Canis lupus familiaris: one gene and its partner. The protein of the gene in region 1 interacts with the protein of each later gene in a biochemical or structural test. Links are inferred from orthologs where the notes say so. Each region holds a gene or a part of one and is shown on either strand. Other genes may lie near its edges. The genes, in order: PTX3 and CFH.

The links.
Region 2: the proteins of PTX3 (region 1) and CFH form a complex in vitro, tested with the Homo sapiens proteins (3 studies listed by IntAct, with this or other methods). The link is inferred for Canis lupus familiaris from reciprocal best matches to the Homo sapiens genes PTX3 and CFH.

The regions. Positions count from the first base shown.
Region 1 is NC_049244.1:51,501,475-51,518,468, reverse strand, and holds PTX3 (pentraxin-related protein PTX3), read right to left. Parts: upstream 10,886-16,994; 5' UTR 10,799-10,885; coding exon 10,669-10,798; intron 10,225-10,668; coding exon 9,934-10,224; intron 6,302-9,933; coding exon 5,688-6,301; 3' UTR 5,075-5,687; downstream 1-5,074. Other genes in the region: VEPH1 (ventricular zone-expressed PH domain-containing protein homolog 1), read left to right, coding at 14,627-14,793.
Region 2 is NC_049259.1:3,456,291-3,471,633, forward strand, and holds the end of CFH (complement factor H), read right to left. Parts: intron 14,872-15,343; coding exon 14,695-14,871; intron 13,568-14,694; coding exon 13,391-13,567; intron 12,166-13,390; coding exon 11,992-12,165; intron 7,929-11,991; coding exon 7,746-7,928; intron 7,288-7,745; coding exon 7,091-7,287; 3' UTR 6,872-7,090; downstream 1-6,871. UniProt on the Homo sapiens protein: Glycoprotein that plays an essential role in maintaining a well-balanced immune response by modulating complement activation.

The DNA of each region.
Region 1 (16,994 bases):
CAGGGTGTGATCCTGGAGACCCAGGATCGAGTCCCACGTCGGGAATAAATTAATAAAATCCTTCAAAAAAAATAAAGTAAATAAAAATAAAATAAAAATAAGACAAGGATGTCACTTAGGTAACAAATTTATTTCAGCTTAAATAATATCAGAAGTAATTTAGTATTTTGTGACATCACCTTTTCAGGGTGGGAGTCATTTTTCAGTATTCCTGAATAATTCTCCAAACTTGTTCTTTGCCATGTAGATGCTTAGGAGAGCCTGCCTGGTATTGGCATATGACAGCAGTGCTGAGTACAGCATCATTTAGCACATCTTTTACCCAGGAGGCTGACAATGTTATTGGAGAACCTGCAAATGAGGATATCTCCAAGTGGAAGGGGTTACTTGAGGGCATCTAGGGAAACCCTTTCCAAATTTTGCTTTGGATCTCTGTGATGCGCGCATCACTACCTTCAACACTAAAAGCAATGATGTCTCTTCCTCTGCATTTCTGAATCAGTGGACGTAATAAGGAAATACGCCTCTCCGTCAGCGTGCCCGTTACCCGGTCCTCTGGCACAGACCACAAGATGACCTCAAATGATTGGAAACTTAAGTAGAAAGTCTTTGGAAAGAAAATGTAATATTGTCTCAGCAAGAGTCCAAATTCCTTTCTGACTTACTGGCAATACTCTAGAAGAGACTGTCTAGTTAATTATGATAAATTCACCTCATTTCTTTCTCTATGTGAGACAACATTTCAAGCCACTGATTGGTGAGCTGTCTCTGAAAATAGAGATAAAAAATCAACCTCTCATTTATTATGGTAGTAGTGATATGGGCCACATAGGCTGAGGTGAGGCCTAAGTAGATAAAGAAGTTATACTTTGCACAATGCCGGGCACGTAGTTCATCCAGGGTTACAGCGATTCTTCTTATCATTATCATAATCAACATCATTGTCGTTGTCATCCCTAATTGGGCATCTGCCATGTACCGGGGCCATATTAAAATATTAAAGGCAGAACCGGATTCATCTGTGGAGTTTATAATCCTTGGGGAGATACTTAGCCATTAAAAATTCATAATACAATTATTCTTAAAGAACAAAGTTTTTAAGTTCACCATATTATAGGTTGTTGAGAAAGAATGTATTAATCCAATTTCCAGGAAACAGGCTGCTAAGCAATCTTATTAAGAATATTCAAACTGAATAATAATGCACATAGGGAAATATTAAAAATGATGCTCTACGACGCCAACCAAGTGTGGATCAAGAAATAGAGACACGTCTTGAGACAGAAAAGGGCCTCTTCTGAATTGTTAACCAGGGCTGGGATCAATTGCAGGCCAGGGTTTGCACCTTCTTGACTCCACCAGCAGATGTTGCTGTGAAGTAAAATAAGGCCTTCCCAGCGAGGAACACGCGGGCTGGCCTCTGAGAATGATCCGCAATATAAGGGAATTTTTATATTCCCTTATTTGTTTGTATTTTTTGCACCTTTGCTTCTTTTTTAAATTTAACCCACTGGGAACGACTTGGAAAAACTTTTTTAAGGACAACTTTCATTTCAAATGTCATGTTATGGTTTACAAAGTACTATTAGATACGCCATCAGTTTTTTTTTTTTTTCGCCATCAGTTTTTATGTCATTTTCATAATAACCCTTCTGTTAGGGAGGCAAGTCCTGTTATCGCTAATTTCTTGGCTAATGTGAGACTCAGAAAGATTAGCTGGCAGGCCGGGCTTCTAGATGGTCGGCGATGGTGCTCTAGGATTCGAATGGTGAACTTCCCAGCCCGAGCCCAGCACGCTTTCTTCCACGGTCCAGATCTATAAAACTGAATGCAAGCATCAATAATCTCAGTTTTCCAGTTCATTGAATCCACAAATATAGACGTGAATGTTTATAATCACTCTGCCCAAGATTTTTAACTTTTTGAGTGCTATTTGTTAAGTGGCTAAAAGACAGTTCTGGAAACATTTGGCCTTAGTAAGCTTCTGAAGGAAGAGCTTCCTGATACAAAATTTAACAAAAAAGTAAAATATCAGTGATAATTTCTTCTCTTTGCAAATGTAATTGTTAAAGTGAAGTTAACTAAGTAATTGTAAATACCAAACTCTAAAATTCTGCAATAGACCCTTTGTAGTAAAAGGTTCTGAATAGATTTTTAAAGGAATTAACATTTCACTAAATTTTAGATTATATTGGACAAGGAAAATGTATCAACTGTATTTTGTTCATATATTCATATATCCCTCTGCAAAAATATTGTCCTGACGCCCATACATATGTAGGTACTAGAGTAACAAAGTGACGGACTGTCACCATTTGCCTAGAACTGGAGTTTTCTGGGACATAGGACTCTCGGTGTGGAAGCTGGGACAATCCCAGGCAAACCAGAACAGTTGGTCACACGAGCACATGCACATAATATTTTATATTTTATATTTTATATATATAATGCATTTTTTCCTCGTAGTGACTTGAGTCATCTTACAAAATTATTTAATAATGCTGTGATATAGGGATGCCCTTAACAACCATTCTGGCAAATGAAACTCTTTGCCAATGTGCCAGACTAAGCCAGCATACTGATACTTCTTTATAGAAATTTTATCTCCGTTTTATACATTTCTTACCTCTTCCTTTTGCAAATATTATGCATTACGGAACTCATTAAATGATATTAAGAAAAAAAAAAAAGCCAGATAGCCAACAACTGAGAATTTGTAAAATGTATTTTCTTTTTTTTTAATTTTTATTTATTTATGATAGTCACAGAGAGAGAGAGAGAGAGAGAGAGGCAGAGGGAGAAGCAGGCTCCATGCACCAGGAGCCCGACGTGGGATTCGATCCTGGGTCTCCAGGATCGCGCCCTGGGCCAAAGGCAGGCGCCAAACCGCTGCGCCACCCAGGGATCCCTGTAAAATGTATTTTCTAAGTGTAGTCTCTGAATGCTTTGAGGAGATAAAGTGTTTTTTCAATTTTTTAAAAAAATTGTTCTCCTGGATCATATTAGGTGATCAAACACTAGTGGATTTTTTAAAAAATATTTTGTTTACTCATGAGAGACACACAGAGAGAGGCAGAGACCCAGGCAGAGGGAGAAGCAGGCTCCATGCAGGGAGCCCGACGCGGGACTCGATCCCGGGACCCCGGGGTCATGGCCTGAGCCGGAGGCAGATGCCCAACGGCTGAGCCCCCCAGGGGCCCTCACTGGTGGATTTACAGTGACAGAAGTGCCGTTTTCTCCCTGTTAAAGCAGCGCAGGAAGAGGCAGCCCAGGCCTGGCGAGGCAGCTCCGCACCCGGGAGCCCAGGCGCCTTCCGTGTGGTGGCAGGACCGCCCGCCGCCGAGGTTGCCAGAACTCCTGCCGTCATTGCCCTATTCCAATCAGGCAGAAGGAAGGAGGGAGAGAGAATCCCATTCAGTGTATTCCAGCATCAGCCGGGGCGTCGGCCCCTGGCCGCACCTCGCTGTCACTGATGCTGGGAAACAGAGACTTCACCCGAGTGGACACACCCACCATGTGAACCTAAATTCTGTTCCTTTGGAAAAGAGGGAAAATAGGTCTTAGGAGACGGTCGGAAGTCCCCTGGAACACTTACCCAGGGTTACTGCTGTAGCAGATGAAATTCCTGCTTCTGTAACCCAGCAATTGCTTGGTTTTCTGCTCTCTGCTGCTTCTTTACCCTCCATGTGTAATTCCCATAGAAAAACTAAAAACGCCCCCAGGTTTAGCTCCGTCGGCGTAGGCGTTTGCATGCATTTTGGCCTGCATCGTCTAGGATCTCTTGAGCTGATCTAATTCCTGCTGAGATGTGGAAATTGAAAGCATGCCTGACTCTCTGTTTATGGTCGGGTCCGGCGTTTCTTCTTCCAGTTAAGCATTCCAGTCATGGACATAATGGCTAAAGAAGGATTTACGTCTGGCCACGGTGTAATCTCCAAGGGCCCGAGACTGGCCCTCGGCCTCATAACTGTGTACACTCTTCCTAGAGATCCATCAGGCTGATTTTGCGGGTCTCACAAGCGGGATGAAGCTCGACTGCTATCACGAGCATCCTCAAAGATTCCTAGAATCATGACATCTTATGGCTAAAGGCAGTGAGACCAATCCCCTTGTTTTACTGAGAAGACCCAGAGGAGTTAAGTACCTTGCCTAAGGACACTCAACTAGTCAGTTATAAAATGTGGTTTGATAACTAGTCCCGGCCCTATGCTCCAAATCTCACAAACCAGAGGTGACCCGTGGTTGTCCAGACCCGTCCTTAGGCGAACACATCATCACTGTGGCTCTACATTTGCTGCTGATGTTCAGGAGCAGCTTTGGGATGGTCTTCTCTTCGCCCCAAAAAGCATTTACAGGAGAACACTAGTGTGGCGGAGAGTGACCTCCCCATCTGTAGGGTGAAGGACCTTGACCGTCCTTTCTTCATGCACGAGTAAGAGAATGGGGTACGCTTTAAGGGCAGGAATCATTGTTTTTCCAGATTCTTTGATCTTCCCAGGAATGGCCCTCACCACGGATATTTGGGGAACTCTGATAATTTATGTGTGTTTCTGTGTTCCACAGGGCAGAGTGTCATATGTGGTCAAAGGGACTTAGACATCATTATTTCCTCAATTCCTTGATTTCTCATTTGAGAAAACTAAAATCCAGAGAGATGAACTGACTTAGCCGAGATCAGATTTCTTGCTTATGACTCCTAGGAAGCCAAAGCTTACGACAACTCTATAGTCTGTTCCTACCAATGTCAACTAGAACTGTTTTCTGGGAACTAGCTCCTACTTCAAGAGTGCGGATTTGCTCCAAAACATCTTTTAAATTTAAAATTAGATGACGGGATCCCTGGGTGGCGCAGCGGTTTGGCGCCTGCCTTTGGCCCAGGGCGCGAACCTGGAGACCAGGGATCGAATCCCACATTGGGCTCCCGGTGCATGGAGCCTGCTTCTCCCTCTGCCTATGTCTCTGCCTCTCTCTCTCTGTGACTATCATAAATTAAAAAAAAACAAAAAAAAACAAAAAAAAACTTAAAAAATAAAATAAAATAAAATAAAATAAAATAAAATTAGATGACATGGGGTAGTTTTATAAAATATTTTATTTACAGTAGAGCTTTACAAAAATAGTCTTAATAAAATTAATACAAAACCATTTTATAATATAACTTATATAACTATCTTCTCAAAAAAGTGACATTCGATTATGACACATAAACTACATTTGCATTTGTTAAGTCACATCGTAGTATAAATATGTTTCATCATCGTATTTTGTAATCATAAGGTACATGCCAGTTAACAGTGAATAATGGACAGCCAATGTTATTTTCTGTTCCTTCCAACGTAAAAGTCATCTCTGGCCAAAACAAAATTAACCAAAGAAAAGTGAAACAATTGCCCTTCTGTTCCACGACGCAGTCCTTTTTAATTATTTGCGAGTTTATCTGACAGAGACACAGCACTAATCGCAAAGCACCGTGGCGTGAAGTCTAGAAACAACATCCCCTCAAGCATTCCCCAATGCCTTCTCTTCAGCTGTTTATTCGGTAATTTTGCCCAGATAAATAAAGATTGATCTCAACTCTCCCCTTCATTAGTCTCAAGTGTTCTTAACACGCGCTGAGGTTTTCAGACCTTCCCAACTGTCTGAAACGTGAGGTTCTTTCTTTGGCTTCGAGTCGAGCTTCACAACACTCAGGAGACATACTGGGCTCCTCCATGGGGCTGGACCTCGGTGACTCCCCACCCAACCACATTGCCCCGGATGTGACAAGACTCCGCTCCTCCCGACTCTCTTATCTCTTCGTTGCCGAGAACACGATCCCAGATATTGAAGCCTGTGAGCCTTCCAGAAAAGGCTAGCGCTTCGTCGAAGCCGCCACCCACACAGCAGCCGTTCTTTTCTTGGCCAATCTGCAGGATGCCCCCCTCGGGGACCAGGTGACCCGTGGCCATCTCCAGCGCGGCAGCCACCGGCTCACCGTCCACCCACAAGGACACGCGGCCTCTCCTGGACTCCCAGGTGCCACACAGGCGGGTCCACTTTCCCAGGGGAACCGCGGCGTTGGCAACCAGCTTGTTGTGCTCTCCGCCCACCACGAGCACCACGGACTGATAGCTGAGGTACAACTGGATCTCGTACGGGTTTCTCTTGGTGCCATAGGAGAACAGGACGGTTTTGTTTAAAACATCTGTGGCTTTGACCCAGATGCAGGCACTGAAAGACTCAAGCTTCATGGGCGTCACTGGATGCACGCTTCCAAAAATCCTCCTGGACCGCATTGGGAATAAGATGGCGGTTTCACAACCTAGAGGAGCAAGAACGTGACAAGGGTATGAGAGAAAGGGGCGTCCGTTCACAAGTCATCCCAGCATTTAGGGGTCTCCGCCCGGCACTCGAACGACTACAGCTGAAAATCCTATGCTGTGGCCCACCACGACCCGAGCAGCTTCGCGTGTGACCTCCCGTGTGACCTCCAGAGCAAAGGAAAGAGGAATAAGGTCAACTGTCAGGCCTACTCCGTGAAGGCCCCACGTGGAAGGGAGGCGGGCAGAGTAGCCAAATTGTCCCAACTCAAAAAATGGTGGAAACCATGTTTTAATAACTACTTTCCCTCGCAATTAGCTGATGGTCTGTTGCTACTTTTTTTTAATGAAAATGTTAAATGGCCAAGGCCGTGCCCTTGGCCTGCACGTGTTACCTTCAGTGACGCTGTAGTTTCCAAGAACTTAGAGCCAGACTTGTTTCCCTCTTCTTGACTTCACCAAACTTCCATAGAACAACGACAAAAACACCTCTGAAATTCGATGGACCTAGCTCACCCTTTACCTGCTGTCGACGTGTTTTTAAATGGAACTCCAGGGCAGTGCTATTGTTGCTGGAATCGTAAAATACCACGTGCTCCAGACACCTGTGAACTGCAAAGTCTGTCGAAGGCTACCTTCGGAAGCAGCAACGAGCGATCACGATGGCCGGTACTCCCTAGGTCCCAGACACCGTTCTTACCGCCCTGGATGGTTTTAATCCTATTTCTGGACCCTAAGAGATGGTCTTAATATTCCCATTCTACAGATGAGAGAACTGAGGCATAGAGCATGAAGCAACTTGGTTCCACTTTCCAGCTGGTAAGTGGTAAAACGGGGGCTTTGAACTGCGGCGTTGCGGCTGCAGAGGCCGTGCCCTTGGCCTGCACCCGGCCCTGCTTCCCAGGAGGGGAACCCCTGCACTTGGCTAGGAGCGCTGGGATTCCGTCTGTTTTACTAGCAGCAAGCCTGCAGGTTTTGATGAGCCCCCAAATCTCTCCGGGCTTTCCTATTTTCCGTAACGGCCCCTCCCATCCTGCTACCGATCGTCCGCCTCGAAGCAACAAGAACGTAGTGCTCGGGAGAAGAACTGTGAGGCCACGGGTATGCTTAGAAACGCTCCGTTTGTCCACATGCTTATAAATACTATGGAGGCAGCAACAGAAAACCTTTAAGGAAGAGTGAGCTCTCCTAAAGGGCCTGGCCGAGAACATATTTGTGCTAAAGAGCAGTGAGAAGGAGACATTCAGCCGTGGGTGGCTGGGAGCTCAGTAAAGTCCCACCTCAGTTCAGCTCCAGGTCACCTGTCTGGTCAGGGAGCTAGAGGTGCTGAACGGAAGCCCTTCTAGGTGTCTCTGGGAAATGTGCCAAAGCCTTTCATAGGTGAGCTCTGCTTTGTGATAACCTCATAGGCGTAGGAGAGATGAGAAAAAGAATTGTTTTTTTTTTTTTTAATCTAAACGAGGGCTAGCTATTCACTTTATAACAAACTAAAGATTTATTATAAAATAGCTCTGGCATGCAGGCGTCCAGAGCATTTAAAGACCAACCGGTGAGTGAATATACAGACCTTGGAGGCACCCAGCGTCCGTGCAGAGCGTGTTCAACTACGCTAAATGCCTGCAAGTGACTGGGGGGCTACGCTCGGCCCTAAAAAAAACCAAATAGCTGTGGACCTAGAAATAGTCAAAGAAATATTGAGTTTCAAAAAATCGTATCAAAGCACCTACAATACTAAAGCACAAATTGGTCCCGTCACGTTTTTGGTATTCTCTTTTTCACTGAAGAATTTGAATTTTTGAAGATTTTTAAGATTCATTCTTAATGAGACAATCTTTCTTCAAATGAAATCAGTACTTTCTTTTTTTTTTTTTTTCTGTGTTAATTAAGTGAAACAAAGATCACGGAGCAAAAGATCACCATATGCATAACCATTTGAGATATTATTCTCTGTAAAGTCCCAGTAAAGGAGTGTTCAAGAGGGGGCCTACTGCAGTCTAATTAACTGATTTCCTGTTTAAATAAACCCAGGCAGGCAGGATTGCATTCCAAAGCATTCCTTGATGGCCTCTCAGAGACTCAGCCTCCCCTGCAGGCTGCACTGGCTGTGTGAGTTACTGGAGTGGAATTTCGTGTTCACAGGTTTTTTTGTGGCTTTTTTTTTTTTTTTTTTTTTTTGGTGGGGACCAGTGATTGAAGCTCTTGATATCTCTTTAAAATGTCAGAAACTCTCTCATGAAATGGCTTTTAACTAATAGGTTTTTCTGATTATATTATCAAAGACCAAACAAAATTAAAACCAGGTTCTTAGGAGGCCGACAACAGAATAATTAGGAATCCCCGAGGAACCAAGCTGGCAGGAAACCAAGAGAGGGGAAATAAAACCATGTGGGTAGAAGTACTATTGGATGGAATAAGGAATTAGCATTCTAGAATTCAGAAATACATCCCTGTCTGCTCTAACCAGTGTACAGAGGTGAGTGAAAACTGGCGTTAATTCTTCAGTTTGGGGAGGGGGGGTGCATCATAGGTACAATCACTTTAATATGCTTTGCCAAAGACAAGAAATGTCACCCACTAGAATAGCCACAGAATTATGTTTTGTCTCCTTGTCACTTACACTGAGGAGCTAATCGTGTATTTGGTTTTATGCTTTTCCAGTCTCCGAAACTGTACTGAATAGTCCAGAAAATCTGCTCAGCATTGATAAAGTCCTCCAATACTTAGGAACGACTGACACCCTGCTATGGTTTCTGCAACTTTAAATGAAACATGCTCCCCCACATGCTTACCATTAGGATCCTTGCCCCCCAACAGCTGAGCTGCTTTATGGCCACTCTAAGGAGGGCGGCGCTGCTTGTAAGTCATCCTCCTCTGTTCCCGACGTTCTCAGGCACAGGAAAGCTGTTGTTTTCATACCTAAGTCCCTGATTTTCCCATATGGCCCAACAAAGGATTCCTGCGCCGCTATCTCTTAGAGATTTTGGCCTCCACAAAGGAGTGTTCTTTGGCTCCAAATCTCCTTTCTTTGACCCACCTTTCAAACGTGTTATTTCGGGCCCACATGTGTTTTTTGGAGATCCCTGTAGGATGGCAGGGGAGGAGGGGGGGCGACTTCAAGAAGTCCTATCTGGTTTGAACCGCCTCTCTCCTGTTTGCACCCCCATCCCTGCAAGTCCCTGGGGAGAGGAGGGTTCCCAGTGTGCTCCCGCAGCAGCCCATCTCACTGCGCATGTAGGGCTCCCCCGAACCTCCGGGACTTGAGGGGCCCCCTCGGGGCTGGTCAATCCCACAGGCCCCTTTTGGGGGGAGGCAATCCCGCTAAGCCCTTCAGGGGTCAGGTTCAGTCTCAAGCCTCAGGCTCAGAACCCGCACGCAGGGAGGAGGCAGGGGAGGGGGGGGCGGCCCAGGAAAGGTTCCCTAAAACGCAGGCTGGGCCCCGAAATAGCGCGGGGACCAGAGCCCCCCGAAACCTGGAGGGAGTGGAGAGCCCCGACGGAGCGGCCCCGGGCTCCGCCTTCTGCAGCGCGTTTTGGCGCCGCGCGGGGCGTGCGCAGGTGCGCGCAGGTGCTCGCAGGTGAGCGCAGGTGCGCGCAGGTGCCCCCCGCCCCCCGGGCCGCGCGCTCCCCGTGCTCACCTGCCGGCAGCCAGCGCCCGGCCGCCCAGCCCCGCACGGCGCGGAGGTCGGCCCGCGTGCGCCGCAGCTCCTCCAGCACCGCGCCCAGGGCGCGCCCCGGCTCCGGGCCCTCGGTCGGCGGCGCGCACGGCGTCCCCAGGCGGCCCAGCTCGGCGCGCAGCGAGCGCAGCTCTGCCCGGAGCACGGCGTCGGCGGCCTGCAGCATTGTGCCCTCCCGCGCGCGCCAGTCCTCCAGCATGATGAACAGCTTGTCCCAGCGGCTGAGCTCCGGGCGGCAGGCGCACGGCGGGGCTGCGGCGGGGACACGCGCGTCACCGCCCGCCGGTCCTCGCAGCCGTCCTCGTGGGCCTCGTGGGACCCGCGGAGCCCTGGGGCGCGGCCCAGGTGACCCCGAGCCCCCCCGACCCCGGGCTCCTGCTGCGACCCCCCCGACCTCCCCAGCAGCCCGTCCTCGTGGGGACCCGGCGGGAGCCTTTGGGGTGCGCGGCCGAGGTGACCCCGAGCCCCCCCGGCCCCCGGGCTCCTGCTGCGACACCTCCCCCGACCTCCCCAGCAGCTCGTCCTCGTGGGGACCCGGCGGGAGCCTTTGGGGTGCGCGGCCGAGGTGACCCCGAGGCTCCCCAGGGCTCCTGCTGCGAGCTCCGCCGCCCCCCGACCTCCCCAGCAGCCCGTCCTCGTGGGCCCCGCGGAGCCCTGGGGCGCGGCCGAGGTGACCCCGAGCCCCCCCCGACTTACGGTCCTCCGTGGGCTGCAGGCCGTGGTCGATCTCGTTGTCCAGGTCCACGTACATGAGCTCGTAGTCCCCCGGGCCCTCCGGCGACAGCGCGGAGCAGAGCGCGCACAGCAGCACCGCGGGGAGACGCATCGCCGCCGCCGGGGGACGCGAGGGGAGGGAGCGGGCGGGCACCGGGCACCGGGCGGACACCGGCGGACACCGGCGGCCGGCCCCGCGCCCCTAATAAGCGCCGGCAGCGCCTGCGGGGAGCCGGGGGTCAGCGCCGTCCCGGGGCCCCCCCGAAGCGGGGCGGGGGCGGGCGGGGGCGCGGGGGCGGGCGACCCGGGCCGGCACGTTGCACAAGAGCAGCCCGCCGGGGGCTATGCTGCAGCCAGATTAGCGGGAGGAGGGTCAGAGGGGAAAGAGGTGGGGAAACTGGGCCGGGACCGTCCCCACGAGGGCTGGAGGGGGGCGGGGAGCAGGCCTGGCCGTGCCCCCTCTGCGCCCCGCTCCCGCGCCGCAGCCCTTGGGGGAGCCTCGCCCCTTCCCGCGCGCGGCCTCCCGGGGCGGAGCGGGGCTGCTGCGAGCTGATGCCCAGGGGGACCGGCGTGCGCGGGAGGATGCGGGTGCTGGGGGCGGGCCCGGGCCCAGCCCCAGCCCAGCCCCAGCCCCAGCCCCAGCCCAGCCCCAGCATCTGGGTCCCCCTGCAGGCGCGAGCCCGCTCGCAGGCTCCCCGCAGGGAGGGGCTCACCCACCCGCAAACCTCGAGGAGGACGGCACCGGGGGAGAGGGAAGCGCTGACTTTAGGAACGTTGCTCTTCCTGAGCTGCTGTGAGGTGGAAATTGTATCATCCCACTGGAGATCACGCTCCTAAAGTAAGTTTAGGAGGAACCTCCACGCAGGTTTCCAGAGTGACTGCACCAGGTCACATTCCCACCAACAGTGCAGGAGTAAAAATAAGTAAATAAATAAATTAATTAATAAACAAATAAATAAATATAAATAAATAATATAAATAAATTTAAATAAATAAATAATAAAATAAGTTTAGGGATTCCTGCTTCCTTCGAAATGTGAAGGCCCAAATAAGCTGAAAACTCTCCTGCACAAAACACCTAGGAATGCATTTACATTATGATGACTTTTAAAAATTTTTTTTGCAATAATTAAATAGGGTTTTACTTTATTTATTTTGTTTGTTCCTTTTTAAATAATTTTACTTGTGTTCAATTTGTCAACGTACAGAATAACACCCAGTGCTCATCTCAAGTGCCGACTTTTTAATTTTTAAAGATTTTATTTATTTATTTATTTATACATGAGAGAGACGACAGAGACAGGCGGAGGGAGAAGCAGGCTCCATGCAGGCAGCCCGATACAGGACTCGATCCTCCGACCCGGGGTCACGCCCTGGGCCAAAGCCAGATGCTCAACCGCTGAGCCACCCAGTGATCCCACTATAATGAAAACTTTAAATGTACAGATGAGCTACAGATAATGTAAGGGAAACCTCCAGGAGCCAAAGAAAGAGGTGTGGGGGGTGGGGATCCAAGACCAACCCTGTAAGCCTGAGAGCTGATGCTAGCCACCCCACCTCCCAAATAAAGGGAGGTAGGGGTCATAGTTTTGTAGCAATCCAGTGCTAAAACAGTGCCCTCGGGAAGATCTCCCATTCCTGAGTCAAGAAATAGGTATAAAAATTACAGCATCCTACAGCACTATTGGTAAAAGCTAAGCATCATCATCATCATCATCATCATCATGTCTTTCAACCATAGAGTGTATGAATAAATTGTTGCCTGCTTACACGATAGAATGCCATACAACTGTGAGAGTAAGCGATGGAGAGCTTCCTGGAGCTAAAACTTCAACACAGTGCTGAATGTAAAAAAAAATTAAATATTGCAAAGACATTTGCATAGTATGAATACCACTGACAAAAAATTTTAAAGCCTGCAAAACAACACTATAAAATGTTTGTTGGTCTATACACGTGCAACTGAAATGTAAAAAAACATTCATGAAGATGATAAACACCGACTTTAGGATGGTGGTTGCCCTAGGGGAGAAAAAGGAAATGAGTGGGATAGGAAGTGATTCTGGCACCAAGTGGCTTTGGAGGGCACGACCTTATTCTTTATTGCCTACTTTTGCCTAATGGCTTCAAATATTCCATAATTTAAAAAATATTAGTTCATACATGGAATTTATAGGATTTCTCTTTTTTCTCTGAATTTACAGGACGTCTATACCAAAGTGTCTTCATCAGTTTCTAACGCAGAAAAAATTTTTATGCATTTATTTTTGCATCATGTGATCAAAATGCAAGTCAGCTGAAAATGACTAATCTGGAGTTTTTCCTTCAAGGCTTTCAGGGTATTTAATGGGTATTGTATCAAAAGCCTTACACCAGTTTCCTGTCTTCAGTTGCAAAGAGAGTCTGATTTATCATGAACTTTTTTAGAGATTGATCAGTATGTCTACATAATTAAGTTCTAAGGTCTATTGTACCCTGTACAGACTGGGCATTACATTAAAAATTCCTGATCCTTTAAGGAAAAGCTCTTGGTTCAGAGAGATAGAAAACAAAATCAAGCAATATTTTGTGATGGACTCGACATTTTTTAAAAAGAAAACCCTGAATATTTCTAATACTTCGCATTCCATGGGTATATGGAAATCTGCAGGAGACTAATTCTGTGAACCACGTGCGGGAAAAGCAATTCTCATTATGTATCATCACCCACACTCATTCAATCTGATCCAGAGTTACCCTTCTATTAATTTTAGTCCCGGATATTCTGAAAATGGTAGCCTTTTTCTTCTATTCTCTCTCTCTCTCTCTTTTTTTAAAATTTTATTTATTTATTCATAAGAGACAGAGAGAGAGAGAGAGAGAGAGAGAGGCAGAGGGAAAAGCAGGCTCCACGCAGGGAGCCCGATGCGGGACTCGATCCCGGGTCTCCAGGATCACGCCCTGGGCTGAAGCTGGCCCTAAACCGCTGAGCCACCCGGGCTGCCCCTTTTGTTCTATTCTCCTATCTAAATGTCCTTTATATATGGACATGTCCCCCCATTCGAGAAAGGTCACATACGTGTAATCACTGCTGCTCAGTTGATTCCTCCTGTGTCTTTCATCTATATACGAAGCCAAATTGAAAGTAATAGACGCACGAACTTTTTTTTTTGTTCAAGAAATCCCTAGAAACCAATTCTCCTGAGACATTTAAGTACTTGAGAGGATTTTGAGAAAAAAAATCCATACCATAAAGTGATAAGCAGATGTTTCCCATATGCTGTTTGCTGATAAGTCCCTGTAGCTTATGCAATATCTCTTCTTGAGACTTTGCCATCTTAAATCCAGTTGTCCATACATGTCTTTGAGGCAAATCAAGTGTGACAAACAAGCGGACTCTCAACTTCCCTTGAAAATAGTACAGAAATTGGGGATTTAAATTTTCATTGCTACTTTTTTTTGTAACTATTCATAAAAATAAGGCTGCATTTCCACATGTCAGCTGTCTGAACCAGGCCTCCATATCTCTCAGGAACGTGAAAACATTCCTCTGCGCCTTTTTTTTCCTTTTTGGTTCCGTTTCATGCTTATGACACTGCATAGTTTTCATTTAAACAGCATCCAAATGTTGTTTCTCGTCAGGAATTCTTTATCAGAACTGTTTCCTTCTTCAGGGTGTGGTGTGGTTACTGTCAAGTGTTCCTCTTTCCCCGTGGAGCATTAGTCAGGAAAACTTTTTCATTAGATAATAAATAAATATGATATTCCCTTTTATGGAATCTGTTTGAGTCCCGCTGTAGTGATTTTTCAAAATAAGATACTGTGTTATTTTTAGCAGAAGCCTTGGCCATCACTCCACGCTGTTTAATGAGTAAGTGCAAGGGTTATTGCATTGACAGTGAACGTGTTTCTACTGCTTGTGAGCTAATGCTCGTCATTCCTGGTTTTGTTCCCTCAACAGGCAATGCCATGCTGTTGAGGGTGTTACCTGCTGTGTATGAAAAGCAGCCTCAGCCGATCAACAGGCACCTGATGGAACTCCTGGCCTTGATGCCTCAGCTGGAGCAACCAGAGCAGTACCATCTCCTACGGCTTTTGCACGTAGCTGCGAAGAGAAAGCAGCCCGAGGTAAAAAGTACATCACATGCATGACGGTCCGCACAACCAGGCAGGAGAACAGCAGGTGTGCTTCGGGTTTCCTCCCTCGTGGGCCTAAACACACTCGCCTTTACGTGAAAGCACTCATTCACTTTTCCTAGAACCGTGAAAGCGAGGAGGGGATGGCACTGTGGTCCCCAGAGAAGCAGAGCCGATAGGATGGACACATAGATCGTGAGCAAACGGACTTTGCTTACGTGATCATCAAGCTGAGAAGACCCACAAGATGCCATTTGTAAGCTGAGACCCAGGGAACACGGGGTGTAATTCCCATCTGAGTCCGAAGGCCTGAGGATGAGGGGGATCAATGGTGTGAGCTTTGGTCCAGGCGTGAAAGCTTCAGAACCGGAGGGCTGATGGTGTAAGCCACAGCCCAGAGGCAGGAGCAGACCAGTGTCCCTGCTCGGCCAGTCTCGTTCAGGCCCTGAGCAGCTTAGACGAGGCCCACCCACACTGGGGAGGGCAATCTGCTTTACCCATTCTACCAATTTACATGCCAGTCTCATCTGGAAACACTCTCACAAACACACCCAGAATAGTGTTCAAGCAAATGTGTGGGCGCTCAATGACCCAGTGAGGTCGACACATAAAATTAACCATAACAGGTACAGTACTGAAAACAGAACAAAGGTAAAACCTGTCACTATGGCGGAAAAGCTTTAATTGATGTTGAGTGTGGCCATGAAGCGCAGGAATCTGTGGTTTCTGGGCCGAGGAAATGAGCTGCACGTGGGGAAAGCAGCCTAGGGTGAGAGCAAAGGCTCGTTTTCTAGATAGCAAGTTGTTGGTTTTTTGGGATCAAATAAAATATTATAATTATTAGGATTATTGTGATTACCCATCACAGAACATCCAACTGAGTGCTGGTTTAAATAATATAAAGGAATTTACTAGCTAATGTGATGGGGAAAAAATACCTTCAGGTGAGGTGGTCGATCCAGGAGCTCAAATAATACGAACCGAACACTTTTCCTACTCTCTATTTCTCGGATTTGGTTTCTGGCGTTGGCTTCCATTTTCTGCAAGCTTTCTCCTCGTGGGATCCAAACTGGTCCAAGGGGCTCTCTAGGCAGCACACCTCTTCTACCTCTACCACCAGCATCCAAACAAAAGTCCTGAGGTTCTGTGTTTAGGACACACACCGTCTGCCTGGTGCTTCTGCTGACTCCCGAGGATACTCAGAGAGAGACTCGAGGCCGCCAGGAAGGGGAGAGTAGGAATGGATCATGGAAGGTACGTACGAGTGAAGATTAAAGGTCAGCCCAAGGTTCTATCGACCGTGGTTGTAACTCTGCTTCATTTCCTGATAAAGTCAGTACCCACCACTTAAAAAAAATCAGTGAACGTGAAGGTGAGTACTGGAACATTTGAAGTCAACCCTCGAACCATGCAGAGAAGAGCCGGCGAGAAGGGTCGAATGCACAATTAACCGCGGTAGGCTGCCGTGGCTGCAAGGGCCCGACGGGAGGAATGACTTCTTTTCTCCTTCTGTATCGCAGACCTTGGCGGTAGCTCTCCATGAGCAGTCACAAAACCAAACAGAATAAATGGTGATAAGTGGTTTGCAAACGGTAGAAGCAGAAGGTAGGGCAGTGAGTTCTACCTTAGGGAGAAACAAGTGTCAAGAAGATTCACAACAGAAGTGGCATCGCGGCCAGACCTTGAAGAGCGGGAGGGTTTGTTCCAGGTGGAGCATGGGGCACAGGGCCTTGGGGAGCGGAGACAGGGCTGGGGGTCCTGGACACTGGAGAGAGACCTGACCCTACCCCTAGAGATTTCAATTCAGGAGGCCTGGGAAGGGGCCCCAGACTCTGCCTCTTTACAGGTTCTCAGGTGACACTTTTCCTGCTGCTTCAGGGACCACACTCGGAGTAGCTAGGCCAGAGGCTGGGCAGGGAACTGGGGACAGCTGTTACCTGATGTGCGTGTGCTTTTGCTTTTGCCCTTAGGGCAGCGTATCGTCATTATTTTTGCACGCCTGTCTTTCCCGGGGCACACTGGACGCCTTGAGGGGCATGGGAGCTGTGTCTGCGTATTTACATGCTCTCCCTACCGTAGTGCCGGACACACAGTAGTTGTTCAATGAAAAGTTGTTGAATTCAAAAATAAGTCAATAACCAGAAGAGATCAAAGAGATCGGAGACCATGGGGAACCGGGGAAAAGATGTGTC
Region 2 (15,343 bases), on another chromosome or scaffold:
GAAGCCCCTATTAGAATGAGAACAGAGGGATCCCCGGGTGGCTCAGCGGTTTGGCGCCTGCCTTTGGCCCAGGGCGCGATCCTGGAGACCCGGGGTCGAGTCCCACGTCGGGCTCCCGGTGCATGGAGCCTGCTTCTCCCTCTGCCTGTGTCTCTGCCTCTCTCTCTCTCTGTGACTATTATCATAAATAAATAAAAATTTAAAAAAAAATAAAAAAATAAAAATAAAAAAAGAAATAGAATGAGAACAGAGCTCAATGCCCCTGAAGGCCCCATATCAAAATGTAAACAGAACTTGAGGAATTGCTCCAGCCCTTCTGGAGGTCCCCGAGACCAGTCCTTAAAACTAAGCTGGAGCCCACCTGGGGGTCCAAGTCCCTGCTCCGCTGTGTCGGGTGCACTTGGACCCAAGCTCGAGCTTGTAAATAAACCCTCGTGTTTGCATCGGTGTCGGCTCCTTGGTGGTTTCTCGGATTCGCGATCTTGGGCAAAACAATTTTCTTTAGGGGTTTTTATTTATTGAAGTGTTTACGTTTTGTTGCATGCTAGAGGTCTCAGGATTTTCTCCTTTAATTTACATGGGATGGTAATAACAATAACAGAACCCGCCGGCGCCCCAGGTTTACCCCTCATGCTATTAGGAGCAAACTGCGGGTCTTCACATCTATTTTAAGATTTTTGGGGCCACGTTTAAGATAAATTTTTCTTTTTTTTAAATTTTTATTCATTTATGATAGTCATACAGAGAGAGAGAGAGAGAGAGAGAGAGAGAGAGGCAGAGACCCAGGCAGAGGGAGAAGCAGGCTCCATGCACCGGGAGCCCAACTTGGGACTCAGGGGTGGAGCAGCTGCCTTGGGCTCGGGTTGTGATCCCGGGGTCCTGGAATTCTCACATTGAGCTTGCTTCTCCCTCTGCCTGGGTCTCTGCCTCTGTGTGTCTCTCAAGAGACCCATAAGCACATCAAATCTTTAAAGAAGAATGTGGTTTGCCTTCTCCCTAGCAATGTTGATCGGGGGAATAGGGCTAGCCGAGGACAAAGCACAGCTGGCATCCCACAAACGGACCCCACCCCCACCCCCGCCCCAGCCCAGGGTGGGAGACGTGTGACATTCTTAGGAAGTTTCTAATTGTCTCAATGTTAATGCCTTCCTCGAGGGGAAATCAATCTTTAACTTGACAACAGCAAGGCCTACCCTGTAGGTCCTCCTTAGCACAGGAACATCCTTTTGAAATCTCCCTTTTGCTTATTTCCCCCAACTCCTGGGTATATAATCAGCCACCCCTCAGAGGCCCGGGGCAGCAGCTCTTCCTGCCCACGGATCCTGTCCCCAAGGTTCAATAAAACACCATTTTGCACCAAAGCTGTCTCAAGAATTCTTTCTTGGTCATCTGCTCCAGACCTCCCCCATATTTCAAAACTTCATCAATGTGATCACTGGCCAACAGCTTATTCTTTCTGAAACACTTTCATCTCTGAAAGATGTGGATGTAACATGCATCTCATAGGGTTTCAATTAGAAACTATTTAGGTAAGGTATGAGATATGTTACATAGCACTTTGCAATTTTCCAGGAATAGATTTAAAATGCCTCCCACCGAGGTGAGAAATTGGGTTTCCCTGAGAGGGGCTGCTGTGCACACGTGGGGTCCTGGCCCTTATACTAAATTAAATTTTCCATATAAAAAGTCAAGGTCAGGATGTCCATTCACCAAGAAAAAAAAAATCCTAATTGTGTGACTGGATGACACAGTTACCCTGAAAAAAAATCCACATTAGCTGCCCAAAGATGAGGCCTTCCACGGTGTCTGCCCACCACCATCATAGAAGGGCTCCTCATCCCACTGGGGCCAGCCCCAGGTTGGGCTCCTCCGATACTTCTGACCCACTGGACCTTTATTCTGAAGCATCCCAGCCACAAGGCCAGTCAAAGGAGCCCAGGGGAGGACAAAGCCGCAGAGCTTTCTCCCTATGGGTCCCCAACCCAGCCACATTAGGGAGGGGTTGTGATGCCAGACTGTGCTGTTGACTAGGTAGATGGCTGAACAGCTACTGAGGCAGCCTCTGTCCAGGGAGCTGAGGAAGGCAGTTCAGGGGAATATTAGAAATAAATACTAAAAATAAATATGAAAGCAAAGTCCAGATAAATGTGTTAAGTAATCTTCCTTCGCTATTAAAAGAAAGATTAGGGCAGCCTCTGTGGCTCAGCAGTTTAGCGCCGCCTTCAGTCCAGGGTGTGATCCCTGCATGGAGCCTGCTTCTCCCTCTGCCTGTGTCTGTGCCTCTCTCTGTGTCTCTCATGAATAAATAAAATCTTTTTTTTTAAAGAAAGATTAATGAACACTGAAAGGATGTCAGAAACTAATACAAATATAACTTTATTAAATGAGGGAACAGATATGATGGAAGGAAGACTACTCTGCATACTTCTCATGTTACTTTGACTTTTAAAATAGGTAGATGTTTGGGGCATCTAGGTGGCTCAGTCAGTGAAGCATCTGACTATTGGTTTCAGCTCAAGTCATGATCTCATGGTTGTGATCTGGAGACCCACCCACATCAGTGTTCAAGCTCAGCTCAGGCGGCTGTAGTTTCTCACTCTTCCTCTCCCTCTGTCTCTCCCCCTTCTCTGTCTCTCTTTATCAAACAAATAAGCACAATCTTCTTAAAAATGTATTTTTCATATTTTAAAAAAAGTTTAGCTTAAAAGAGGAAGAAGTGAAATCTAAAATTGAAAAAAAAATGCTTGTTGGGCTGCCTGAGCCCAACCCAAAATAGCAGGACATCTCAAATTGGGTCAATGGCTGGTCTTCCCGCCAAAGCAGCCAAGACCACCACATCATCTCCAATAAATCGAATCCTAGACGGAACCGAAACTTTCCATCCAGGACTTTCCAGCCAGGGACCACCCCCCATCGTCTGGACCATCCCCAGCCCCAGCCAATCACCTAGGGACGTGCCTAATTGACAGGAGACCCACCCGGTCCAACTGGAACCAATAAGGCCTAAACCCTCCCCCCCCCCCCAAACCACAGGTGACTTCCCCAACTCGGGCCACCTCTCCCGGGAGCGCTCCCCTTTAAAGCACCCTCCAACCTACTGCCGGGCTCTGCTGTTTGTTTGTTTGTTTATTTTTTTATTTCTCTGCCGTTCATTTTGGAAAAAACCTAACAATGCTAATGCAAGTAAATGTAAAATTTTATTAATTTGGTAAGTGAGCCAGCGAGAGGTAAGGATTATTTCAAGTCATTTTTGAGTCCAACATCCTAAGGACAAAATAAATGCAAAGACATTTTTAACCTTTATTCAGTAGTTTACCTGCTGATAGTAATGTTTGCATTATGCTTTTAATATTATTTTTGTAAAGATTTTATTTATTTATTTATTTGACAGAGAGAGAGAGAGCACACAAGCCGGGGGAGATAAACAGAGGGAGAGGGCTCCACTGGGCAAGGAGCCCGACAGGGGTTGTATCCCAGGACCCTGTCTGGGATCATGACCTGAGCCGAAGGCAGACGCTTAAGCACAGGAGCCCCTAGTATTATTTTTAAAAATATTTAAATATAAGAATATATGAATAAAGAGAAATGACAAAAAATGTATTTAAAGGTTTCTTTTTGGGGATCCCTGGGTGGTTCAGTGGTTTGGTGCCTGCCTTTGGCCTAGGGCACAATCCTGGAGTCCCTGGATCGAGTCCTGCGTCGGGCTCCCGGTGCATGGAGCCTGCTTCTCCCGCTGCCTGTGTCTCTGCCTCTCTCTCTCTGTCTCTCATGAATAAATCAATCTTAAAAAAGTTTTATTTATTCATGAGAGACAGAGAGAGAGACAGGCAGAGACACAGGCAGAGGGGAAAAGCAGGCTCCTCGCAGGGAGCCTGACGTGGGACTTGATCAGGTCTACAGGATCATGCCCTGGGCTGAAGGTGGCTCTAAACCACTGAGCCACCCAGGCTGGCCATTTTAAAGTTTCTTAACCCTGTATTACTTATAACCCTGAATTGTAAGAACCAATAAGAGCAAATGAATTTTAAATTTCATTTCTATTTCAGATTTCTGACAAGCAAAAAATTGTAAGAACCAATAAGAGCAAATGAATTTTAAATTTCATTTCTATTTCAGATTTCTGACAAGATTTGAAGACATTTCAACAGTATTGAATGTTCCCATCTAGTACTAATAGCACAGTTTTTGTGTTCTAAACACTATTTCCCAATAAAAAGAATCAGACTTTTGGAAAGATGATTTGGGTGTTGGTCAGGGAAGTATACCGGTGAACCTGAACATTATACCTGAAGTATACCTGAACATTTTGTTGTGCTAAAAAGAAAAGAAACACTCAAAGACTCGTAGGTATAACAAAACAATCAGGAGCCAGTTTCAAGAGGCACTCACTAGTCAAATTTGGGATAATTTGAGCTTCAAAGAATAATGACTATAATTGTTTGTGACAAATTGAATAAGCAAGAATTCATGAATCCTTTCTGATAGAACATTAAAAAAAAAAAGATGGGCAGCCCCAGTGGCCCAGCGGTTGAGCACCGCCTTCAGCCCAGGGTGTGATCCTGGAGACCTGGGATTGAGTCCCAGGTTGGGCTCCCTGCATGGAGCCTGCTAATCCCTCTGCTTGTGTCTCTGCCTCTCTATCTTTCATTTTCTGTGTCTGTCATGAATAAATAAATAAAATCTTAAAAAATAATAAAAATAATACAAAAGAAAAAATCTTTAAAGTCATCACAGAAAGTCACTATCATCAAGTCCTACTCCAAAATTGGAAATTAAAGAGCAAAAATAAAGATTTACCAAATAGTTTTAGGTAAAGGATTTAAGAAATTGGACAATTAACACTTAATCTTTACACAAGAATGACAATAACTGCAGAAAAAGAATAAAATTCATCTTAAAAATCACTATTTTGCAGCCAACAATGAAAATGATTGCTTATAGAATATGTTGATTATAGGAGAAACAGTATGTATGTCAATATTAATAGCAAAGATAACTTGACAATTGTGACAATGTTCTTTTAAACATGAGAAAACTGGCTATCACTTGTGATTCAGATTTAAATAAATCAACTCTATTAGAAACAGCCAGGTTTCTCATTCTAAGAATGCAACTTGATTTGATGCAAAACGAAGTAACAAGTTATCACCTTAAAATATTTTTACTTTAATTTTATCTTTATTTTCACCTTAAAGTTTTCATATTTTTGTAGAATTTAAAAATGTTTACAGTCAGCTGAATTTAACTAATTATGCTGTTTGAAATGTATGCACGCAAAAATCATATTTCAGACTCTTGTGGCTGAATGTTTCCAAAACCCTCTATTGCAACAAACTCATGAAGATGTCATTAGGTTTGAAGATCGTTACCAAAGAGTTCCTCATAGCTCTCAACATGTATCATCCTACTTTTAATATATCTTTATTTTGTTTTATTTTTAAAAAGATGTATTTACATATTTAAGTAATCTCTATACTCAACATGGAGCTCAAATTCATGACCCTGAGGTCATGAGCACACTCCATTGACTGAGCCAGCCAGGCACCCCATCAAAATAACCACCTTTATTGTGGTTTAAAGGTGATAATACTAAAGATAGAAAAACTGGAAAAAACAGGTGACTTTTTATTTTATTTTTTATTCATTCATGAGAGACAAAGAGAGGCAGAGACACAGACAGAGGGAGAAGCAGGCTCCCCAGAGGGAGCCCTATGCAGACTCTATCTGGGGACCTGGGATCATGCCCCGAGTGGAAGGCAGACACTCAACCGCTGAGCCACCCAGTCTTCTCAATACAGGTGACTACTAAGGGCTTAAACACCAACTCTTACTTCTAGCACCTTTAAATTCAACTGTAGTTATTGTAAATATTTTATTGTATTTCCTGACAATTCTCGTTTTATTTTTATTTTTTTTTTTTAAAGATTTTATTTATTTATTCGTAGAGACACAGCTAGAGAGAGAGAGAGGCAGAGATACAGGCAGAGGGAGAAGCAGGCACCACGCAGGGAGCCCGATGCGGGACTCGATCCCAGGTCTCCAGGATCACGCCCTGGGCTGCAAGCGGCGCCAAACCGCTGCGCCACCAGGGCTGCCCCAATTCTCGTTTTATAAACAGTTATGCTTATACTGTTTATAGATTCTGTTTATAGATTCTATACTGTTTATAGATTCTATAAACATATGTTTATAGTGTTCAAAATATTGTGTGGGTGTTTATACTTGAAATCAGATTTTTTGTCCCGTTTCATGTTATGACAGTTATGCACCCAATTAGATTCTAATTTCTCTTTATGATATGTTTGAATTTTTATGTGTGCTATATAGCCATCTTGTAGAAAATCTTGCATTTATAATCATTTTTTGGGTATATGTATCTATTGACAGATAAGCAAAACTAAATAATAACTACTTATATCGTATTATTAATCTTTTTTTTTTTTTTTTTTTTTTTTTTTTTTAATTTTTATTTATCCATGATAGTCACAGAGAGAGAGAGAGGCAGAGACATAGGCAGAGGGAGAAGCAGGCTCCATGCACCGGGAGCCTGATGTGGGATTCGATCCCGGGTCTCCAGGATCGCGCCCTGGGCCAAAGGCAGGCGCCAAACCGCTGCGCCACCCAGGGATCCCCTTATATCGTATTATTAATAAGGTATGGCATAGTTAGGTTTTCACATGTTTTTGAAATGAAATTATCTTGAAAATGGTGAAAAGCATTTTCTCCCATTTCCTTTGAAATGGAGAGTCTCAGGCAGACTCAGAAGTTATGGAAGACGTTTTGAGAAAGTTAGAGGGAAAGATGGATAGAAGTAGACACTGGAGTGACCTAATCTCTTGCCATAGATATTTTATGAATAGGACACAAAGCATTTTGGCTTGCCAAGTTTTAATGAGGTGCTTTTAAGAAGTGATTTATTCATTCCTCTGATTATAATTACATCATCCACATCATATTTAATACAAATTCTGATTTATGAATATAAATGAGTTACACAATACTTGACAAAATAAACTGAGAATTGGACTGATAATAAAAATTCTCAGTAAATGTATATACTTTAATTATAAAACTGCATCTTAACCATAACCTATACACAAACAGGATATGTCATTTTCCCTTCATGACAGACTGCTCGGAATACTTGATTGTTTGTCTTTGAATGATATCCAGGGATACATTCAAACTCAACAGTATCCCTTGTTTGAGAATACAGTTTTGTCTCAGAAGACCATCGAAATCGTATGTTATTTCTTCTCATGATGTCTTCTGATACAACACAGGCATCTGAAGGTGAAAAAAAAGAATATAACATCGAGTAGTAAACAAATATTTTCCATAGAACTTTAGATTCTCAAGTAGAATCTTCTACACTGGCCCAGGGCTTTGTTTTTAAAATCTTTTCCAAACCCAATTCACTGAAAATCCATTGCATCGATTTAAATCATTTTAAATGATCAATGATGTAAAATGATGTACCACACTTAAGGTGTGATAATTTTATACTCAAAGATTCATAATGTCAATTATAATATGAAGAAATCCAGAGTCCTTTCAGTAAAGGATCTTTTGTTGCTTGAATAGGAGTTTTTTTCCAACTTTATTTCTTCACATATTAATGTTTGGTAGTCACGTATTCAACAAATGGTTGTTTGTTAATCAATGAACATTCTATTAATAACAGTAAGACATCTTACTCATTATACTGATTTTCCCAGGATCCATGAGAATATTAAAATATTTACCTAAGCATTTTGGTGGTTTTGTCCACTGTCCATTTCTGCATCTTACAATCCTGTTTCCCTGAAGTGCATACAAGGACTGGCATTTGTACTCTACTGTTGATTCTGGAGCATATGCTGATAATGGGAATGAAGTAATGTCTCCATTGTCAATAGGTGGAGGAGGCCCACATTTTCCTTTAGATTCTAAACAAAATATTTATTTGATTTATTGAAAGACTAAAGAAAAACAGGGTAAAATAAAGCAAATAAAAATATAGCACAATATGCAATATCAAGACTTGTGACTTCTGCTGACAGAAATGATTCACTGAAGACATTTTAATCACTTAAACTGAGAATCAAACTTTTAAGCCTTTCCTTTTATCCTACAGGAAAGCACACCACATAAAGCATTAACAAACTGTCTGCTTTACAGTATTAAGGTATTAAAAATATTTTTCCTATTGAATAAATGAAGGACAGATGGATAGTTAATATAAACAAACCTTCTTAATACATACAACATACTGCAGTGTCTATTGGATCTCTAGTCATTCTTTATTGATTTTCATTTTTATTGCAAAAGGATCATCAGGGCAGCCCAGGTGGCTCAGCAGTTTAGCACCACCTTCAGCCCAGGGTGTGATACTGGAGACCAGGGATCAAGTCCCACATCAGGTTCCCTGCATAGAGCCTGCTTCTCCCTCTGCCTGTGTCTCTGCCTCTCTCTCTCTCTCTCTCTCTCTCTCTCATGAATAAACAAATAAAATCTTTTAAAAAACCCAAAAAACCTTTCTGCTTATTCCTTCTACTAAGTGTCACTAAAAATCCTGAACATATTATGAAAACCAACATAAGAGATTATTCAAGGATTTCTTTCTTTTTTTCCTTAAAGACTTTATTCATTTATTCATGAGAGAGAGAGAGAAAGGCAGAGACACAAGCAGGCTCCATACAGGGAGCCAGACGTGGGACTTGATCCCGGGTCTCCAGAATCAGGCCCTGGGCTGAAGGCAGCACTAAACCACTGAGCCACACGGGCTGCCCCTATTCAAGGATTTCTACAGCAGTGAGTTGTTTGGGTTTTCATTTTGCCTTCTATGGAGCCTGGCCTGGGCACTGGAACCCAGAAATGATATCAAGTTCAGGCCAAAAAGAAAAAAGAAAAGTCCCAAGAGTTGCCTTCTCTCTTTAGCCAAAGGCTCAGGAAAGGAGTATTATAGCAAGACAGAAATATATATGTATTTTTTACAATACTTGAATTACTCCCAAAAATCATCATAGAAGAGAAACCTTGACCAACCCTCTTCCCATGTTGATCAGAGATCAACAGTGATCAATGGAGGCCAAGTGTGGCACCTAGACTTCTATCCACAGTCAGGGAACAAGATATCTCTCCACTTTCCATGGTGTCAGTGGAGGCCAAGTGGAAAGCCTGGACTTGCACTCTCTGCAATAATGGAGGCCTGATAAATAAGAGATTTCAATAAAATCCAGAGTCTAAAACGTAACACACCAAATGTCTAGAACACAATAAAAAATCACTCATCATACCGAGGACCAGGAAAATCTCAAGAGAAAGATAATCAACAGATCACAACACTGATATGAAACAGATATTGGAATTATTTGACTGAAAATCCAGTGGGAATTATAGAACCAAAAAATGTAGTAATGGAATTAAAAAAAAAAAACAAAAAACCTTTGCTAGATAGGCTCTATCATGGTTTACAGATGATGGAAGGATAAATCAACTTGAATAATATAGAATACAAATTACTCACTTTGAAAATAGACTGAAAACAAAACACAACAAAAAACTTCCAAAAAAAAAAAAAAAGGACTAAAATTTCCTAAATTGGCCACAAGGCATAAACATTCATATTGAAAAAGCCAAACAAGACAAACCCAAAGAAATTCATCCTGAGATACATTGTAATCAAACTGAGGAAAACTAAAGAAAATGAAAAAAATCTCAAAAGCAGCTACACAGAAATGAAGCAAACTTATAAGGGAAAACGGATTCAAGTGTCAGAGGGGCTCTCACCTCTGTAATCATCAAGCCAGAAAGAAAGAAGTGACAAGATTTTTCAAATACTAGAAGAAAAGAACTGTTACCCCTGAATGCTATATCCAGTGATACTATCCTTTAGGACTTAAGGGAGAAAAGAGGATATTCTGAGACAAAAGATATTTATCTCCAGCAGATCTTTAAAGAATTGTGAAAGGAGTTCTTCAAAAAGCAGGGAAAAGATAACAGAACAAGGACTGAGAGACTTCATGAAGGAAGAAAAGCAAAGGACTGAAAAAATAAGGGTAAATATAATAGACTCTCTTTTTCCTAATGAGTTCATTAGGTTTGATGTTTGCGCAACATTACATCATTTGATATGGTGCTCAATATATGTAGAAAAAATGCTTAAGACATTTATGTTTGAAATGTGGACAGGGTAAGGGCACCTGGATTGCTCAGTTGGTCAGATGAGCAGCCACTTTAGACTTCAGCTCAGGTCATGATCTCAGGGTTGGGACATCAAGCCCTCCCTGTATTGTCCCAATAGAGCCTCCTTTATTGGGCTCTAAGCTGGGCATGGAGGCTGCTTAAGATCCACCCCCCCACACACATCGTCCCCACCACTCCCCTCTCACTCTCTATTTCTCTCAAAAAATAAATATGTGAAAAATAAAATAAAATGTGGGGAGGGTAAATGGGCCTAAGTGGAAGTAAGGTTTCCTCATTTCACTTTAAGTGGTAAAATGTCAAAACCAGGGGGTGTAACAAGCTACATATGTGCATCCTAATACCTTGAGCAACCACAGATAAAGCTACAAAGAGATATGCTCTGAAACAACATAAACATGTCAAAATAAAATTATTTTTAAATGTTCCAAAAATCCACAAGGATGGCAAAGAAAGAAATGTGAGTGAGAAATAAAGACGTCTATTCAAGACAAATAATAAAATGGCAGACACAACCCCTAATCTATCAATAATCACATTAAGTGTAAATGGTTTAAATACTTCAGTTAAAAGGCTGAAAATGGCAAAGTGGACACATAAACAAGAGCTAAACCTATGGCAACTAAAAGAAACTCACTTCAAACATGAAAATATAGGTGGGCTCAAAGTAAAAGATTGGAAAATTATATATGCCAAGCAAAAGTTGATTTGAAAAACAAGTGGCGGGCAGCCCCGATGGTGCAGTGGTCTAGCGCTGCTTGCAGCCCGGGGTGTGATCCTGGGGACCCGGGATCGAGTCCCACATCGGGCTTCCTGCATGGAGCCTGCTTCTCCCTCTGCCTGTCTCTCTCTCTCTCTGAATAAATAAAGTTAAAAAAAAAAAAAAAGAAAAACAAGTGGCTATAATATCTCCTTTGTTGGATCCTCTTATTTCTTAAACTCTTAAATACTGGAGTGTGCTATGACCAAGTTCTCAGACTTTTTTTTATTATCTACACTAACTCCCTTGTTGAGTTTCCTTGTTGAACTCAGCTGGTAACCCACCATTATATAATCCACATGCTGAAGAAGCCCAAATTTACATAACATTCTATGATCATGCCCCAGGTACTCACTGTGTGTCTCAAAGTGAAATTTCATAGGACTGTCAAATGTCCTCAGCGTATCATTTTTAAAAACAGATTTATTTATTTATTTTAGAGAAGGAAGGGGAGGAGCAGAGGAAGAGGGACAAGTAGATTCCTAACTGAGCATGGAGCCTGTCATGGGGCTCCATGCCACAACCCTAAGATCATGACCTGAGGCAAAATCAAGAGTTGGATGCTCAACCCAGGTCCCCCTCTTAGCATTTTAATACATTGAAATAATTGAGTGTCATAATGCTTAAGATAGAGAATTTTCTGGTTGCCTAGGTGGCTCAGGTGGTTGAGCGACAAACTCTGGATTTTGGCTCAGGTCATGACCTCAGGGTCATGGGATTGAGTCCCACGTCAGGTTCTGCCCTTAGCATGGAATCTGCTAAAGATTCTCTCTCCCTCTCTCTACCCCCCTACCCCCTACTGCTCATACTCACACTCACTCTCTCTTCAAAAAAAAAGAGAGAGAGAGAGAGAGAATTTTCCATGATTCCAACTTCCCTAATCTGGCTAAATCTTTCGTAAAATAAATATATAATATCACTTATGTAGTCCACAAAAAGAAAAGATTGGATTTTAAGCACGATCGTTTTATTTGAGATAAAAAAATGATGCCATTATTAGTCCTTAATATATTCTTTAAAATTTAAGGAGAAATAAGATACTTTACCTCCACATTGAGGTGGGTTTGTCCAGGTCCCATTTAAACATGTCACTTCTGCTTCTCCAAACAGGTCAAAAGGTTTGATGCATTCATAATGAACACTCCAACCAGGTAGATACCTAGACCTCTCGTTTAGTACAATAGCATTTTTCACTTTGGGTGGACTCTCGCAGGACATATCTTAATGGGAAGAAAAAAAAGAAGCATCTCTAATTTAATGATCATTTTGAGTAGCAAATCAACAATGGGATTCCAAATATATCTCAAGGGGAATTTAAGATCAACAGTTAATCTATTATGAAAGAGTGCCAATTTTAAGAAGTTTACATATAAGATTGAAGAAAAGATAAAACAATATCCTCTGATAAGATTTAAGCTTCTATGAAAAGGAGAGTTTTTCTGGACATTTCCCATTTTTAGTAAAATCAATATTATAAATTATATAAATTCAGAATGAAAATCATGGGACACCTGGGTAGCTCAGAGGTTGAGGATCTGCCTTTGGCTCAGGGAGTGATCCTGGAGTTCCAGGATTGAGTCTCACATCAGGCTCCCTACACGGAACCTGCTTCTCCCTCTACCTATGTCTCTGCTTCTTTCTCTCTGTGTCTCTCATAAATAAATAAATAAATAAATAAAACCTTTAAAAAGAGAAAATCCTAATAATAAGATTATTTGATATCAGATTTTGTCTTGTAATCATCGTGTTTATGAATATAATTTTAGGCCCTTAGAAAAATAAACATAGTAGGCACTTCCTTAGATAACAAATGAAGAATTAACACACTTTGAAGAATGCCATAGTTGGAAGAGGATGATTAACTGAGGATCCAAACAGATGATGTGGAAAAATAACAGAAATATAAATGTACAGTTTATAAAAACACTCTTTAATGATTTTTTTTTTTTTTTTTTGCAAATGCTTAAGGACATTTCAATGAGTAATTTATAACTAACCAGTGAGGTTCAGGAGGATATTAAGTATAATAGGCTATAGCTATGGTTCCTAAACTGGAGTACATATCAAATCTCTTGGGAATTGTTAAGACCTTTTCAGGGTTGCATCCCCAGAGTTTTTGACTCAACAGGTCTGAGTGAGCTTGTAAATTTACATTTGCATTTCTAACAATTTCCCAGAAGACACTAATGCTGCTATTCCAGAGATCTCAATTTGAGAACCACTGGGCTAGGCTAGAACCACTAGGCAAAAAAAAAAAAAAGAAAAAAAAAAAAAAAAGATGAACCACTGAGTACACAATTTTATCCCTTTATGTTAAAGCATAAACCTTCTTTGACCTGGCCTAAAAAAATAATCTATGTCTGTTTTTTTAAATGGTGTTAGTGGGAATTCTATATTATATTACTTAAGACATTTTGATAAATAGATTCTAAAATATTAAAATACCTTTGCATACTGGACTTCCTATCCATTGGCCATTAAGACACTGTACAAAATTGGGTCCATCCATATGGTAATATGTTGGACATCTATAAGTCACTTTTTCTTCTGACCTATATAATACTTTCTTCGGGCCTATGGGTATGGCATTACCAAAGCTGGGTAAGTTAAAACAGTCTGTTTCTGAAAGAAAAAGAACACGTACTTGTTCAGTGAATCTTTTAAAATACATAATGACCAATAACTATAATGTAGGATGATAAGTACACATCAAACCAATGAGCATTGTACACAATTTTTCTTATTAGTTGAAAAAGAAATGTGTTAGAAGTCTTTTGAGTGAATTACATTGAATAGTACTATGCTTATCAAAAGTAAAACATGGGGAAAAAAAAGTAAAACATGGGGGTGATGATATGGAAACCCTATAAAGCTATGGATACATGTAAGTCTTGATATCATATTTCTTCCACTCAAATTCTTTTTTTGCCCACACAAGCCACCTACATTATGTATGTATTTGTATTTTCTGCTTCTGTCAAAATCTGTTACTTTTAATTATGTCAAATATCTTAGAAAACTATATATTTATAAGGGGATAACTGATAAACTAACAATAAATTGAATAATGATTGATTAGCAAGGAGCAGCTGTGATACAAGAACAGAGATGAGGGAGATCCCTGGGTGGCTCAGCAGTTTAGCGCCTGCCATTGGCTCAGGGCGTGATCCTGGAGTCTGGGATCGAGTCCCACATCAGGCTCCCTACATGGAGCCTGCTTCTCCCTCTGCCTGTGTCTCTGCTAGTCTCTGTCTCTGTCTCTCTTTGTCTCTCATGAATAAATAAATAAATAAAATCTTTAAAAAAAAAAAAAAGAACAGAGATGAGAAGTCTGAGGATTCCTATCAGAGAATGTCAAATGTGCACACGAAGTGAAATGAAAGTGAAGTAATTTAGGCTCATGCAGTCACACTTTTATTACTACTAGGATTATTCATTCTCTACCAAAATCTACAACTTCCCAGAGATACCTTGTTAAATTCTAGAATTACTGCCTAGTTTCATATTTGTACCACTGATGTCTGAATTAAGAATTGGGGTGCCTGGGTGGCTCAGTGGTTGAGCGTCTGCCTTTAACTCAGCTCGTGATCCCAGGGTCTCGGGATTGAGTCCCACATTGGGCTCCTACAGAGAGCCTGCTTCTCCCTCTGCCTGTGTCTCTGCCTCTCTCTCTGTCTCTAATGAATAAATAAATAAAATCTTAAAAAAAAATAGTTATCAACCTTAGAGTAAAATTAAATACACTATACTTATGCATTTTGGTGGATTAGACCATTTTCCTCCTAAACATTTTACAGATGCAGGTCCATCAATTGCAAAACCATCATCACATTTATACATTACTTCTTCTCCATATTGGTAACTGTCTGATTGTTGAATTAGAATACCATGTGTAACCATATATGCTGGTGGTGCACACGGAAGCCCTGAAAAAAAAAGAAAGAATAATTCCATGTTTCATTAATTTTGAAATTTAATTTTATGTACTGGTTGCCGTATTTGGCAGTATTATTTGAAAAGAAATGATAACACAAGAGTTACAATCATAACACAGAGAAGGTGCACAAATGGTTCCTAAAGCTACCACTCTGATGTGTGTCCAGCTGGAAACCTGAGCAAGAACTTGAAACCAAAAATATTCATATATTATCAGCTGTCATCATATCTTTCTATCATATTCTTTCTAGATATGTCTCCTAAGGCAAGGAAAACAAAAGCAAAAATAAACTATTGGGACTATATCAAAATAAAAAGCTTCTGCACAGTGAAGGAAAAATAAACAAAATGAAAAGGCAACCTACAGAATAGGAGAAGCTATTTGCAAATGGCATATCTGATAAAGGGTTAGTATCCAAAATATAGAAAGAACTTATAAAACTCAACACCTGAAAAATGAAT